4 linked regions of the Arabidopsis thaliana genome follow. The protein of the gene in region 1 interacts with the protein of each later gene in a pairwise test. Each region holds a gene or a part of one and is shown in the gene's direction. Other genes may lie near its edges. The genes, in order: AGL97, AGL78, AGL89 and AGL90.

Region 1 (2,978 bases):
TAATAACAAAGATGAACAATGTGGATTTTGCCAGAATATTTATGGCTGTGAGCTTGTTTCTTCAAGAAGTCTCTACCTTTTAACTTCTCAAAAATCAAGTTTCTTAAACAAGTCTTCAATGCTGAGGATGTCACAGAAGAAGTCTTCAACAAACCTGTAGCCATGTTTTGATCACAGAAGAATCAGTACTTATATGTTTCTAATTGATACAAGATTCTTCTCCAGCAAAACCCTGATTTCTTCTTCCAAATCTCACTTGTTCTTCTTTCAGAATCTTCCATACGAATCTTTGATTCTGTTGTAATTCTCACAATCTCTCTATTTCTCACACTCCTTTACGGTTTCATTGTCTTTAGAGAGAAAGAACAAAAACTATTTTCTTTTAATCTTCTACTTTGATAATATTCTTGGATACTCTTACACAACACAAACAACACATACATATAGTGGTTTTGCTCCACTTGGTAGACTACACACACTTAGACTCTAGACCACATCATTGTCCTAAGACTTACATCATCCACTCTACTATGTTGGAACTCCAACACCTTAATTCACTCTCTTAGTTTACTTTAGTTGTCACAACCTCTTCTTGTTGGACCTTAACTAGACAACTTGTACAAAACACTTATTCGTATGGGCCTTATCTCATTACCTATGACCCAACACACAAAACACAAACCCATTTGGTTTGTTGACTTTCTTCTCTTCCTTTGACTCCTCTCTTCACGACGTCTCTTCTCCGCCATCGTCTTCTTCTTCCGTTGCTTCTTCCTTTGTTCTTCATCTTCTTCTTCTCACCAAGCTTGTTATTCTTGTAGGATTTAGTTTAGGATACTCAATTCCAACAGATTCTCGTAATCTCCATATCTAGATCCTCTTCCGAATCCGTAATCACCAATTCACCATTATCAACCAAAAGCTTGAGTTTTTGTTGTGTATCGGACATTGATTCACCAGCATAAAACAGAGATTCCATACTAGGGTTTGAGATTGTATTCTTCAATACTGTGTCGTCTTCTTCTTCCTCACAAAGTTTGCAATTTTGGTTTTTGGATTCGTAACGGTCACAAAGAGAAGAAGAGAGGCTCCTAAATATTTTGTTGTATTGACGCTTTTACCCTTCATAACGGTCTTATTTTATTGACCGTTGACCAAACCGGTTAAAGGAAGAATTTGCATGTTGGTTTACTCGTCCTCCTTCGCTTATTAGACAATCAGTAGTAAACAAATTCACCGACTAAACCAAAAATTCCACTAAATACAGATTCGGTTTAACTAAACCGGTCTTTGTTTGTATTAGATGGTTTTGAGTAATTTACTTTTAGAAAAGGAAACAGTTTTAATTTTTCGTTTAATTACCGATTAGGGTATTATCAGTAAAAAAGGAAATCAAAATCGATGTTGTTTCAGGTGGTTTTGTGTACTAATTACTTTCAAAAAAGGAAAACAAGTTTATTTAGTCGTTTAATTACTGATTAGCAATTATCAGAAAAAGGAAATAACATGGATTAATTAGAAAACGAGTTAGGGCTACTAAGTCTATATATATATCTATCTGATTAGAACGAGAGTGAGTCCATTATCATATTCTTCTTTCGCAACAAGCGGCAGCACACAAAACTCTCAAGTCTTGTCTCGTTCTCTTTTGTTTGTGAAACTGAGAAAAAAAACAGAATGGGTGGCGTGAAGAGGAAGATTGCTATAGAGAAGATACAGAACAAAAATCCACGAGCGGTTTCATTCTCCAAACGTCGTAAGGGTCTGTATAGCAAAGCTTCTGAACTTTGTCTTCTCTCGGACGCAGAGATTGCGATCATAGCGACTCCTGTTTCTTCTAATTCCAACGCCGCTTTCTACAGTTTTGGCCACTCCTCTGTTGATAATGTCGTCGCTGCTTTTCTCGCCAATCAGCGTCCTTGTGATGAAAGGTTTTGGTGGGAAGATGAGAGTCTTCTAAAATCAGAGAATCTGGAGGAGTTGAGAGAGGCGATGGATTCAATGTCGACTATGTTGCGAGATCTCAAGGAGTTGGAGAAGCAAAGAGATCATCAAACGCAAACCCTAATTCATCAGCCGTGTTCTGCAAGGGTTTGCATTCAAGATTATGTAACTGTGAATTTCGATGGGTTTAACACGGAAGAGCAAACCCTAGCGGTTTCTGACAATAGTAACAACAACGGTTTACTTGGAAACTTGGATGAGTGCAATGAAGATTTTGATGATCTCGATCAAATCTTCGATACGGTGACAAACTCTGAATTTTTATCGGTGAATTTGGAGATGGATGATGTAACTGTGAATTCTGAAGGGAACACGGAAGAGCAAACCCTAGCGGTTTCTGACAATAGCAACAACAACGGTTTACTTGGAAACTTGGATGAGTGCAATGAAGATTTTGATGATCTCGATCAAATCATTGAGTATTTGACAAGCTCTGAAGCTTTATCCATGAATTTAAAGATGGATGATGTCTGATGCATGCCTCTATGGTGACAATTTGTGTTTATGTTGAAATTGGATCCTTGATTTAAGTATTGCTTCGGTTTAGTATATCTTTGTATGTCTTTTATCAGCTTATGACTTTATTTGATCTGCGTGATATTTTCGTATATCTAACCAAAACATAAGAGCATCCCCAACCACAATACACCAAATTTTAACACCAAATTTGATATTTTGGTGTTTCAATTGTTTTATCATCTCCAACCATAACACCAATTTCACACTAAAAATATTACTTTTTATTATAATATTATTAAACTTAAGATTTTCTTTATTTTTTTAATAGTTTGATATACATAACATATTTCATAACTAAATTATTTTAACTTAATTAATATAAGATTACAATCGATAAATTGAAAATAACAAAAAAAAATTACATTGTACTAATTCTCAGAATTAGTATATACGGACCACAAGTGTTCAATTAATGCATTTCGAAGTTTAATATGAGCTTCACGGTCTTTGATTTT
Region 2 (3,413 bases), on another chromosome or scaffold:
TGAATAAGAAGAGGACGAAATGGAATTTTGCTGTGACGCCACGTCTTCAGAGTTCGAAACGACGATGTTTTGAAAGTAATCCAACATTTCGTAACTTAAGGATGTTTCCACGAGTGAAAAGCCATGAGGGTAATCTTGTTGGAACATCATATATAGCCTCTCTCTCTCTCAACCAAACGAGCACAAAAAGAAATGAAGGAGTTAATGCATAAAAGTTAATGGCTACGTTATCTTTTACACAAAGTAATGTTTATGCGTGTATTTATAATGGGGTCTTGTTGGTTTGTTTTAATTTATTAATCTTTGGAGGACTTTAATAATCAAATTTTCACGACGTTTATGTAAGAAATGAAGCCCTAGCTCTGAAGAGATCAACCATTTGATTAATTTTAACCCGATTTTACGCAATAAATTAAGAAACGAATGCAATAAATTCTTAATACTAAGATCAACAATTAGTTTATAACTTTATATTTTACCCGATTTTACGCTTTATATATCGTCATGAAATCTCTCATGTTTGACTAAGGGGTATTTTTTATACCATGGACTTTTTGCTCAAAACCTCAGTTACAAATAGAAATAAAAACTCTTACAATTGATGGAAAACAATCTATAGGGAGTTTATTTATTTATTGACTGCAATCAAATATACTATCAAATAAAGAAAATTGGATTATGAAATGAATCTAAAGGGATACTTCAGCAACAGATCCCACATAACATAATCCAATAAGAACGTTCAGAGATATACACAACAAATAAGAATGTTAACTTTCATGATCGCAAAACAAATCTTAATACTTTACCATTCAAGTAATATATTTAATGAGGCATAAACAATTTATATTTCTTTGTGATTGCCAATCACAATGTCGTTTTATATGATTGGTACATTTCATCTAACAAAGAAACGAGTCTATTTGTGAGTTGAAAATTCGTGATTTGTGGTTCACTATTGGATCGTCGTTATCAATCTGACATTAATTGTACCCTATTATATATATTGTTGTGTCTATAATAAGGCAAGCTGGTTACTACATTTGTCGACTTCCACATTCCCAATTATTGTGTATTTTCTTGACTAGCTAATACATATATAACAAGAATTAATCTTCCACAATATGAATTGTGATGCGTTTACAGTGGTAATTTTGCAATAAACAGAGTGAGTATATATATACCCTTCGAACATTTAGTTTTAATTATTTGAAGAGTGTTTTTATGTTAGTTATTTTTCACAACATTCTGATTGGAGAAACAATTTATAGATTTTTGAAAACCCTTAATTAACAACTATAACGTAAAAAAAAATTTGAAAAAAAAAGAAAAAAAAAAAGATAGAAGAAACCTAGAAATAAAATGAGTTGAAATCTTTCTTCAATTTTTTGAAAACCCTTAATTAACAATTAAGAGTTTTTTTCTTAGAGACAGATTTTCCTTTTTCCTCCAAGTTTTTGTTGCACAATTAATAATTACACAATCAAATCTATAGTATTTTTTTAATTAGATCTTAATTTTGTACAGCCTAAAATAAAGTACCATCGAGAAACTAATTAAAAGTTTCCTTTTTTTTTGGTCTCTACCATCGAGACATTAATTAAGGAAATCTACATTAGATATTGGAAATCGAATCGAATCGTAGGAGCGTAGATCTTCACGCCTCGCGATTAACAACGACGCGTCGCGTTTGCTTGTTCCCGTAGGCACCAAGGCATCTATATAAACATATTGAGTTCACAATGTTTCACCCTCAATTCGACAATACTTCTTCTTCGTGTGTTCTCTCTCTCGGAAAAAACCCTAGTTTCTTGCCGAATCAAGGCAAAGTCACGATGAAGCAAGCTTCTTCTTCTTCTTCGTCACGTAATTCAACAAGTTTAACAAATAGACTTAAAACCATCTTCAAGAAAGCTGAAGAGCTTTCGATTCTCTGTGCTATTGAGGTTTGCGTCATCTATTACGGACCAGACGGTGAACTGAGAACATGGCCTAAGGAGAGAGAGACAGTGAAAGACATGGCTTTGAGGTATAAAGAGGCCAGAAAACGCAAGAAGAGCCGCAATCTTCATGAGTTCCTCGAGAAGGAGAAGGACAAGGACAAGGGGAAGACGAATTTGAAGAAGAATTGGTATCCAAACTTTGATCATTACTCTCCTCAACAACTCTCTCAATTGATTCAGTCCTTAGAACGGACTCTTTCTACTCTGCAAGAAAGGCTTCGTATTGTTGAGGCGCAGAAACTACAGAACACAAACTTGGTGCATCAGAGTTTAACACCATCGTATCTGAACCAGACCCAACACTTGAATCCTAGCAAGTTCTCGCTGTTTATGTACAACCATGGAGATGCTACTCTCTCACAACTCCCACTGTCTGCTCCACACTCCAATCAACTCATCAATTACCAGAATCACTTGATGCAGCATGGTTTTGGTCAGAACATGTGTTCGGACAACATCACCAACAACAACTTTGAACATCCTGGCGTGTCAAACACACAAGACTACTCACCGTTACTTTCGGTACAAGCATCTGCAGTGAATAACTACGGGTTGAATAATCACTTGATGCAGCAACAGGATCAGCTTCATGGTTTTGATCAGAACATGTGTATGGTGAGTGAAATCATCAACAACAACAACGGTCTACAACATCCTAATCTCTCAAACACGGTTCCACATGAATTCTCTTCTGATTTCAACCAGAACCCTTATGGTAATGCGGTCGGTAACATTAGCTTCTCTCAAGACATGTTTTCAAGCTATGATGCGAGCAGTCTGCTACAGACATCTTCTCTGCCACCTCTCCACAACATTCCTAGCAGTTATTGTTTTCCTGGCAACTCAAGACTTCTCTGATAACAAAATCTGTCCAAAAGAATTTGTTTTTTTGAAGCTTCATTAAGAGTCAGTCAATAGTTAAGTAGCAAGCGGATCGGAGAGAGATTGAAGCTGTTTCTGCTTCCGATTTCTTCTGTTACTGTTTTTTTTAATATTTTATAGTGTCATTATAACTGCAAAACAAATCCATTTGTTTTTTTTTTTTGTTAAGAAAACAAATCCATTTGTGGAGATTTTGTTTTTACTTTTAAGTTGATACTTTTTTCAGTTAGTATTGACATATATATATGAACTTCCATAAAAAATCTTTCACAAAAACTTGCATGAAACAAATTATAATCTTAAAACCTTAATTCTTGCAACTTAGTATCCTTCTTGTCTGAATCAACTAATATATACAAGGAGATGGAGAGTGGATCTGAGTTCGTGAAGCCTCTAGACTTTTTGCAGAAGAAGAATCTCTGTGTAGTTTCTGAGTAATGGTATGAGGAAGAAGATAAAGATTGAGCTGATTGAATATCTGCAATTAAACTAGCCCTTGTGTTTTATCAAGAAAGTCGATATCACATT
Region 3 (2,913 bases), on another chromosome or scaffold:
TCACATGAGCAAATGGATCCGTATATTTTTTTGAAGCAGCTTTCTTGGTGGTCTTAGGTGGTTCTCCAAAAACATTCCAAAGCCTGAGAGTCTCGTCACCGGCTGCAGAAGCCACGGTACAACCATCCGGACTCTGTGCCATAAAAAGAACTCTTGATGTATGACCATTGAGTTCAGCCATTTTCACCATAGATGGGTACTTCCAAAGTGTAAGCTGGTTCTGTGTAAACCCATGTGAGCTAAGCAACTCTCTTTCACTTTTGCTCCATAACAATGAACAAACTTGAGAGCCAGTTTCTACTGAATTCAAGCAAGCCCCAGTGTGTGTATTCCAGAACTTAATCTTCCCATCACCTACACCACCACCAGTTGCAAGCAAACTCGCTTGGAAAGGGCACCAAGCAAGAGCTCTCACTGCAGCTGTATGTTCCTCAAACCTATGCAGCCATTGCCTAGTTGGGTTTGAGGAAGCGACAGAACGATGATCCCAAATGTGTACTACATTGTCGTTACCACCACTTGCTAGTTTTTTTCCAGATTCTGACCACTTAAGACCACAAACCTCTTCTGTGTGACCCAAGTAAGTTTCAACAATAGATGATCTGATCCTCACATCATTGTTGACGATCTTTCCATCCATTCCTCCAGTTGTTAGAATGTGATTGTTCCATGCCAATGATCCTACTCTTGACTCGTGACCACCTCTCAGTGTTCTCACTTGACGATTGGAAACACAATCCCAAAGCTGGACTTCACTGTTGTCAAGACCAATTGCCAGATCAAGACCATCTTGCGTCCAGTTAATACTTGTGACAGGTCCCTCCTCTTCATCAATGGTCACAAGCTTATATGTAGAACCACTAGACGCATCCCACAAGTAAACAGTGTCTCCCAAAGCAATGGCTAAGACATTAGAACTGCCCCAATCCAACAAGTTAAGGTAGAAGTCATCCGCAATTCCAGGTGCATCCAAGACTCTCTCACTATTCTGAGGAATGTATCTACGAGGCTTTACGGATATAGGTTGTTGGTGAGGAGGATCAGAGTGATTACTAGAAAGCAGAGCTTTAGGTTTGTTTCTGAAAGCGAGAATCCGAGTGCGATTCTGATTCATAGCCTCAGCCAATTGCGTCATGTAGGCTTTTCTTGATGCTGAAGTTACCTCATCGACATTACGTTTTCTTCCTTGGGTAAGAGCGTAGTTAGCAAAGTCGAAATCCATGGCCGATCTATTCGGTATGAATCTGTCGAAGTTTTCCTTGGAAAGTTTCCGACGGAGAAAGTGTTCTACAAGTGGACACGAAGCTTGTGCCTTTAAATGTGAAGAAGTGTTCATCATAACTGTGATTAGAAGAAGACTAAACGAAATATGACAAAGAGACAAATAAAACCTGCGAAGAAGGAAACGTAAAGTAGATTCAAAGCAGAGAGACAGAGAGCGAATAGCGAATAGTGAAGGAAGATTGTGGCAATTTTAGGGTTTTTTGCTTTCTTTAATTCATTACATAGAAATTGTCAATTACGTACAACGGTTAGATATTAGTAAAATGGAAATCGGATCTAATTCAGATTTCCGTTAAAAATAAATAAAAGATTTTCATTACAGTTACTGAAGAAAAATGAAATAAATATGGAAATCGAATTTAACAAATTCAATATAAACCCTAATCCCAATTCTCTGACTTTATTTTCTCTTTGCAAGAAACTAAAGCTTCTTTCTTTCACCGTGTAAACAACAACAATGGATTCTTCAATGTCGACGAAGAAGAAAACCAAATTGTCTGTGAGAAACCAAACTTGTTTCAAGAAATCGTCTCTTTCTTCTTCTTCTACTGCAAAAAAGACCACGAATTTGTCTATGAGAGAAGAGACCATGTTTAAGAAAGCCTTGGAGCTTTCAACTCTGTGCGACATCGAAGTCTGTGTCATATATTATGGTCGTGACGGAGAACTCATCAAGACATGGCCGGAAGATCAATCCAAGGTTCGAGACATGGCTGAGAGGTTTAGCAAACTACACGAGAGAGAGCGACGCAAGAAAAGAACAAACCTTTCTCTGTTTCTACGTAAAAAGATCCTCGACGACAATAAATTGTCGGAGAAAGTCTTAGAGATGAAGGATTCGCTAGAAAGTGGTCTACGGGTATTACAAGATAAGCTTCTGTTACTCCAACCCGAGAACCAGACCGAGCTAGGTCAGAGCCGTGCGGTTTCTTCCACAACGAATCCATTGTCTTCTCCTGAGGATCATCATCATCAACAATGGACAGAACCATTGGTGACTGGTGTGTCAAACACAGAGCAAGACCTATCGACGTCACCATTGAGTAACCATCAGAGCAAATATTCAGTCTTTGTCTATAACCATGACAGCGGAAGCTTCTATCAAGTCCCTGACTCGATCTGTTTCTAGTTTAGATTATGAGTTTTAATTGTCTGATTAAGAGTTTGTGTTGAATTGTATGTTTTTCCTAAGTATTATCATTATGAATGCTATTCTCAATTCAATTTTTGTCTGAGTCAATTAGTTGGCTTTGTTGGATTTAGAAGCCAATGGTGAATTTCCAGATTACAATGCCTTGTGATTTTCCGATTAAAATTCTTCCAAGCCCTAACAATGGAGATTTGTTCAAGAGATCTCCTAACTCTCCTCTATGGTTTGTTACACACACATCAATACATGCATAACTTGTGCAATAACCTTCTATCTATTTATATACAACTCACTAGACTCTCAAGCTAGTGGTTAAACAATCTGTTTCTTCTTGCTCTGTTTTCACGTGCCTTCTCTGCTTCTCTTTGCTTATTCACGAGCCTCAACGAATCCGTTTGAGCTACCACACGTGCCTCCTAGCTTATCATAGGTCTTTTGATTCATGTTTGTACAAGCTTAAGTAAAGTGTATCCGGAGGA
Region 4 (3,439 bases), on another chromosome or scaffold:
TTAAACTCTTGATTTTATCCTTATATGTAGTCCATTTTTAAAAATACTCATTCTCTTGAGCAAAAATACCAAATTACTCTCATCTAATGAGAACAAGTAATTTATAAACTGAAATTTTCCCGCTAAAAGTTTTTTTTCCCGCCAAAGTTTTTTCTCTGTAACAAATTTTTTTCCAGCTAAAAACATGCATTTAAAAATCCTTATAAAGTGTTTTAAAAGCTTTGTAAATTTGTTAAAAACCCTTGTGAATCATTTTAAAACCTATTAAAATCTTTATAAAGTTTTTAAATATATATGTAAATACTTAAAAACCCATTTTAAAACCTTTGTTTTACATTTTAAAACCTTTTACAATGATTTTAAAAGATTTACAAGAATTTTTAAAGGATTTAAAAGGATTTTAAAAACATTTGTAAATCTTTTAAAAACCCTTGTAAATCCTTTAAAACCCTTGTAAACAATTTAAAAATCTTTTAAAACCCCTTAATAAATTTTGAACCATTTTAAAACTCTTATGAACCTCTTACAAAATATTTTAAAAACCCTTGTAAGTCCTTTAAAACCCTTGTAAACCATTAAAAATCTTTTCAATTTCTTGTAAACCCTTTAATAATTTTTAAACCATTTTAAAATTCTTTAAAAATATTTTAAAATTCTTTTAAAAATCTTTTTTAATCTTTTAAAAACCCTTGTAAATCTTTTAAAACCTTTTTAAAATGTTTTAAAATCACTTGTAAATCTTTTAAAACCCTTTAAAAATATTTTAAAATCTTTTGTAAATCTTTTAAAAACCTTTTACACTTTATAAAAATCTCTTAAAATCCCTAATCTTTTAAAACTCTTTTACACCTTTTTTAAAAATCTTTTAAAATCCCTTGTAAATCTTTTAAAACCCTTTAAAATCTCATTTCAAAAATCTCTTAAAATCCTTTATAATTTTTTTTTGCGGAAAAAATGTTTTTAAGAAACCTTTTTGGCAGAAAAGTTTTTTTTAAAATTTTTTGGCCGGAAACTTTTGGCGGAAAATTTATTTTCAGAATATTTTTGGCGGGAAAAAATTAATATTTCATTTTTTACTTAAAACATTTTCTAAATAGGGGTAAAATGGTCATTAAAAATTAAGAGAAAGTATAAATGAAAATAACAAATAAGAAAATGCATTATTGAAAAGGATAGTGTTGAAAGGGCATTCATAACAATTATTCAAAGTTTTTGGCGTTTATGTGAGATGTTCTTTGCATATTTTCAAATTGTTTGCCCATTCTAAAAATTTATTTGTATGATTCAAAGTACATCTTTAAATTACTGTAGATAACAAACTTTCTGAAATTTACTTTAGATAACAAACTTTAGAGTAATTTCTAGCTTACCACAATTCTATATACATTGACAATATATTACTGTATTTTAAAAGTACAATCACTTAAAACTATTACAAAACTTCACATTCTAAGAACAAAGTAAGCTAGAAATTATTCTTAGTAAAAAAAAACAATGAGAGTAAGAGAAATTAATTCTTAGTATAAACAAAACTTAGAAATAAAAATATTATATTACATGCCCCCTCATATTACATGGATAGATTTTTTTCTTTTTTTTGTCATCAGATATTATTTAGGATCAGACGAGCCAAACTTTAGATAAGAAAAAATATTTTTATATAGATAATAATGAATTACCTGGTCAATTAATTGATAAGAGATTTCCTGGATGTTATTTAGAATTAATGAGTCCACCAAAGTGATAAGAATCCTAGTGACTATAAAATCATCTTTCTTTGCTATATAAACATTCTTTGAGTAAACAAATTAAACAAACCACACAAAACAAAACAAAAAAACATATTGATGGGGATGAAGAAGGTAAAGCTATCTTTGATAGCTAATGAAAGATCAAGGAAAACATCCTTCATGAAGAGGAAAAACGGGATATTCAAGAAACTCCACGAGTTGTCAACTCTATGTGGTGTCCAAGCTTGTGCTCTCATCTATAGTCCATTCATACCGGTTCCAGAGTCATGGCCGTCAAGGGAAGGTGCTAAAAAGGTAGCTTCAAAGTTTCTGGAGATGCCGCGGACAGCCCGAACCAGGAAGATGATGGATCAAGAAACCCATCTTATGGAGAGGATTACCAAAGCAAAAGAGCAACTAAAGAATTTGGCTGCTGAGAACCGAGAATTACAGGTTAGACGATTTATGTTTGATTGTGTTGAAGGCAAAATGTCCCAGTATCGTTATGATGCAAAAGACCTTCAAGATTTGCTATCTTGTATGAATCTATATCTCGATCAGCTTAACGGAAGGATCGAGTCCATTAAAGAAAACGGTGAGTCGTTGTTGTCTTCCGTCTCTCCTTTTCCTACTAGAATTGGTGTTGACGAAATTGGTGATGAGTCGTTTTCCGACTCTCCTATTCATTCTACAACTAGGGTTGTAGATACTCCTAATGCTACCAATCCTCATGTTCTTGCGGGCGATATGACTCCTTTTCTTGATGCGGACGCAAATGCGGTAACTGCTCCCAGTCGATTTTCTGATCATATTCAATATGAAAATATGAATATGAGTCAAAATCTGCATGAACCGTTTCAACACCTTGTTCCTACTAACGTTTGTGATTTTTATCAAAATCAGAATATGAATCAGGTTCAATACCAGGCTCCTAATAATCTGTTTAATCAGATTCAACGAGAATTCTACAACATAAATTTGAATCTGAATTTGAATCTGAATTCAAATCAGTATCTGAATCAACAACAATCATTCATGAATCCGATGGTGGAACAACATATGAATCATGTTGGAGGGCGTGAAAGCATTCCTTTCGTGGACAGAAACTACTACAACTACAATCAACTACCAGCCGTTGATCTTGCTTCCACCAGTTACATGCCTTCAACCACCGATGTTTATGATCCTTACATCAACAACAATCTCTAATCACAAAAGACGGAGATTTTCTAGTCTAAGTGTTCAGTTGTTTGAATTTGTGTTTTCTTCATTTCGAAAGACAAAAACTAATGTTGTTTATTAATAATGGTTGTAATGGTTAAAGGGTCTCTTTTTAACTTAATTATGTATTTTGATTATTAAGTAATGTTTTGCCCAAAAAAAAAAGATTATTGTGGGAAACTTTAACTGTGGAATTTATTTCGAAAATTTAATGTGTGATTGGTACAATATTTAGACGAAAGTTTTCATTTGAATTCTTTTAGGACCCATACGTAGAGAATAATTGTTTTCCCCAGCAATTTGAAGTAAGAAATATTATTCTTTGAATCAATTATGGATTTACCATTTTTTGGGATGGTATCTGTGGATTTTGCCCTTTTCTGAATAGTTTGTAGATTTTGCCTTTTTCACACTACGAAAATATGATTTAACATGTGTTTTATTCGTTATGTTTGGGTTTAGTCGGTTGTGCTTGTTCTTAGGATTTA

The links.
Region 2: the proteins of AGL97 (region 1) and AGL78 interact in a two-hybrid assay, tested with the Arabidopsis thaliana proteins (one large-scale study listed by BioGRID).
Region 3: the proteins of AGL97 (region 1) and AGL89 interact in a two-hybrid assay, tested with the Arabidopsis thaliana proteins (one large-scale study listed by BioGRID).
Region 4: the proteins of AGL97 (region 1) and AGL90 interact in a two-hybrid assay, tested with the Arabidopsis thaliana proteins (one large-scale study listed by BioGRID).

Annotation. Positions count from the first base shown.
Region 1 is NC_003070.9:17,231,635-17,234,612, reverse strand, and holds AGL97 (AGAMOUS-like 97), read left to right. Parts: upstream 1-1,661; 5' UTR 1,662-1,677; coding exon 1,678-2,478; downstream 2,479-2,978. UniProt on the Arabidopsis thaliana protein: Putative transcription factor.
Region 2 is NC_003076.8:26,108,491-26,111,903, forward strand, and holds AGL78 (AGAMOUS-like 78), read left to right. Parts: upstream 1-1,835; coding exon 1,836-2,861; 3' UTR 2,862-2,913; downstream 2,914-3,413. Other genes in the region: AT5G65320 (basic helix-loop-helix (bHLH) DNA-binding superfamily protein), read right to left, coding at 1-150.
Region 3 is NC_003076.8:9,734,910-9,737,822, forward strand, and holds AGL89 (AGAMOUS-like 89), read left to right. Parts: upstream 1-1,615; 5' UTR 1,616-1,741; coding exon 1,742-2,413; downstream 2,414-2,913. Other genes in the region: CDC20.5 (cell division cycle 20.2, cofactor of APC complex-like protein), read right to left, coding at 1-1,339.
Region 4 is NC_003076.8:9,991,185-9,994,623, reverse strand, and holds AGL90 (AGAMOUS-like 90), read left to right. Parts: upstream 1-1,853; coding exon 1,854-2,510; intron 2,511-2,633; coding exon 2,634-2,939; downstream 2,940-3,439. UniProt on the Arabidopsis thaliana protein: Probable transcription factor.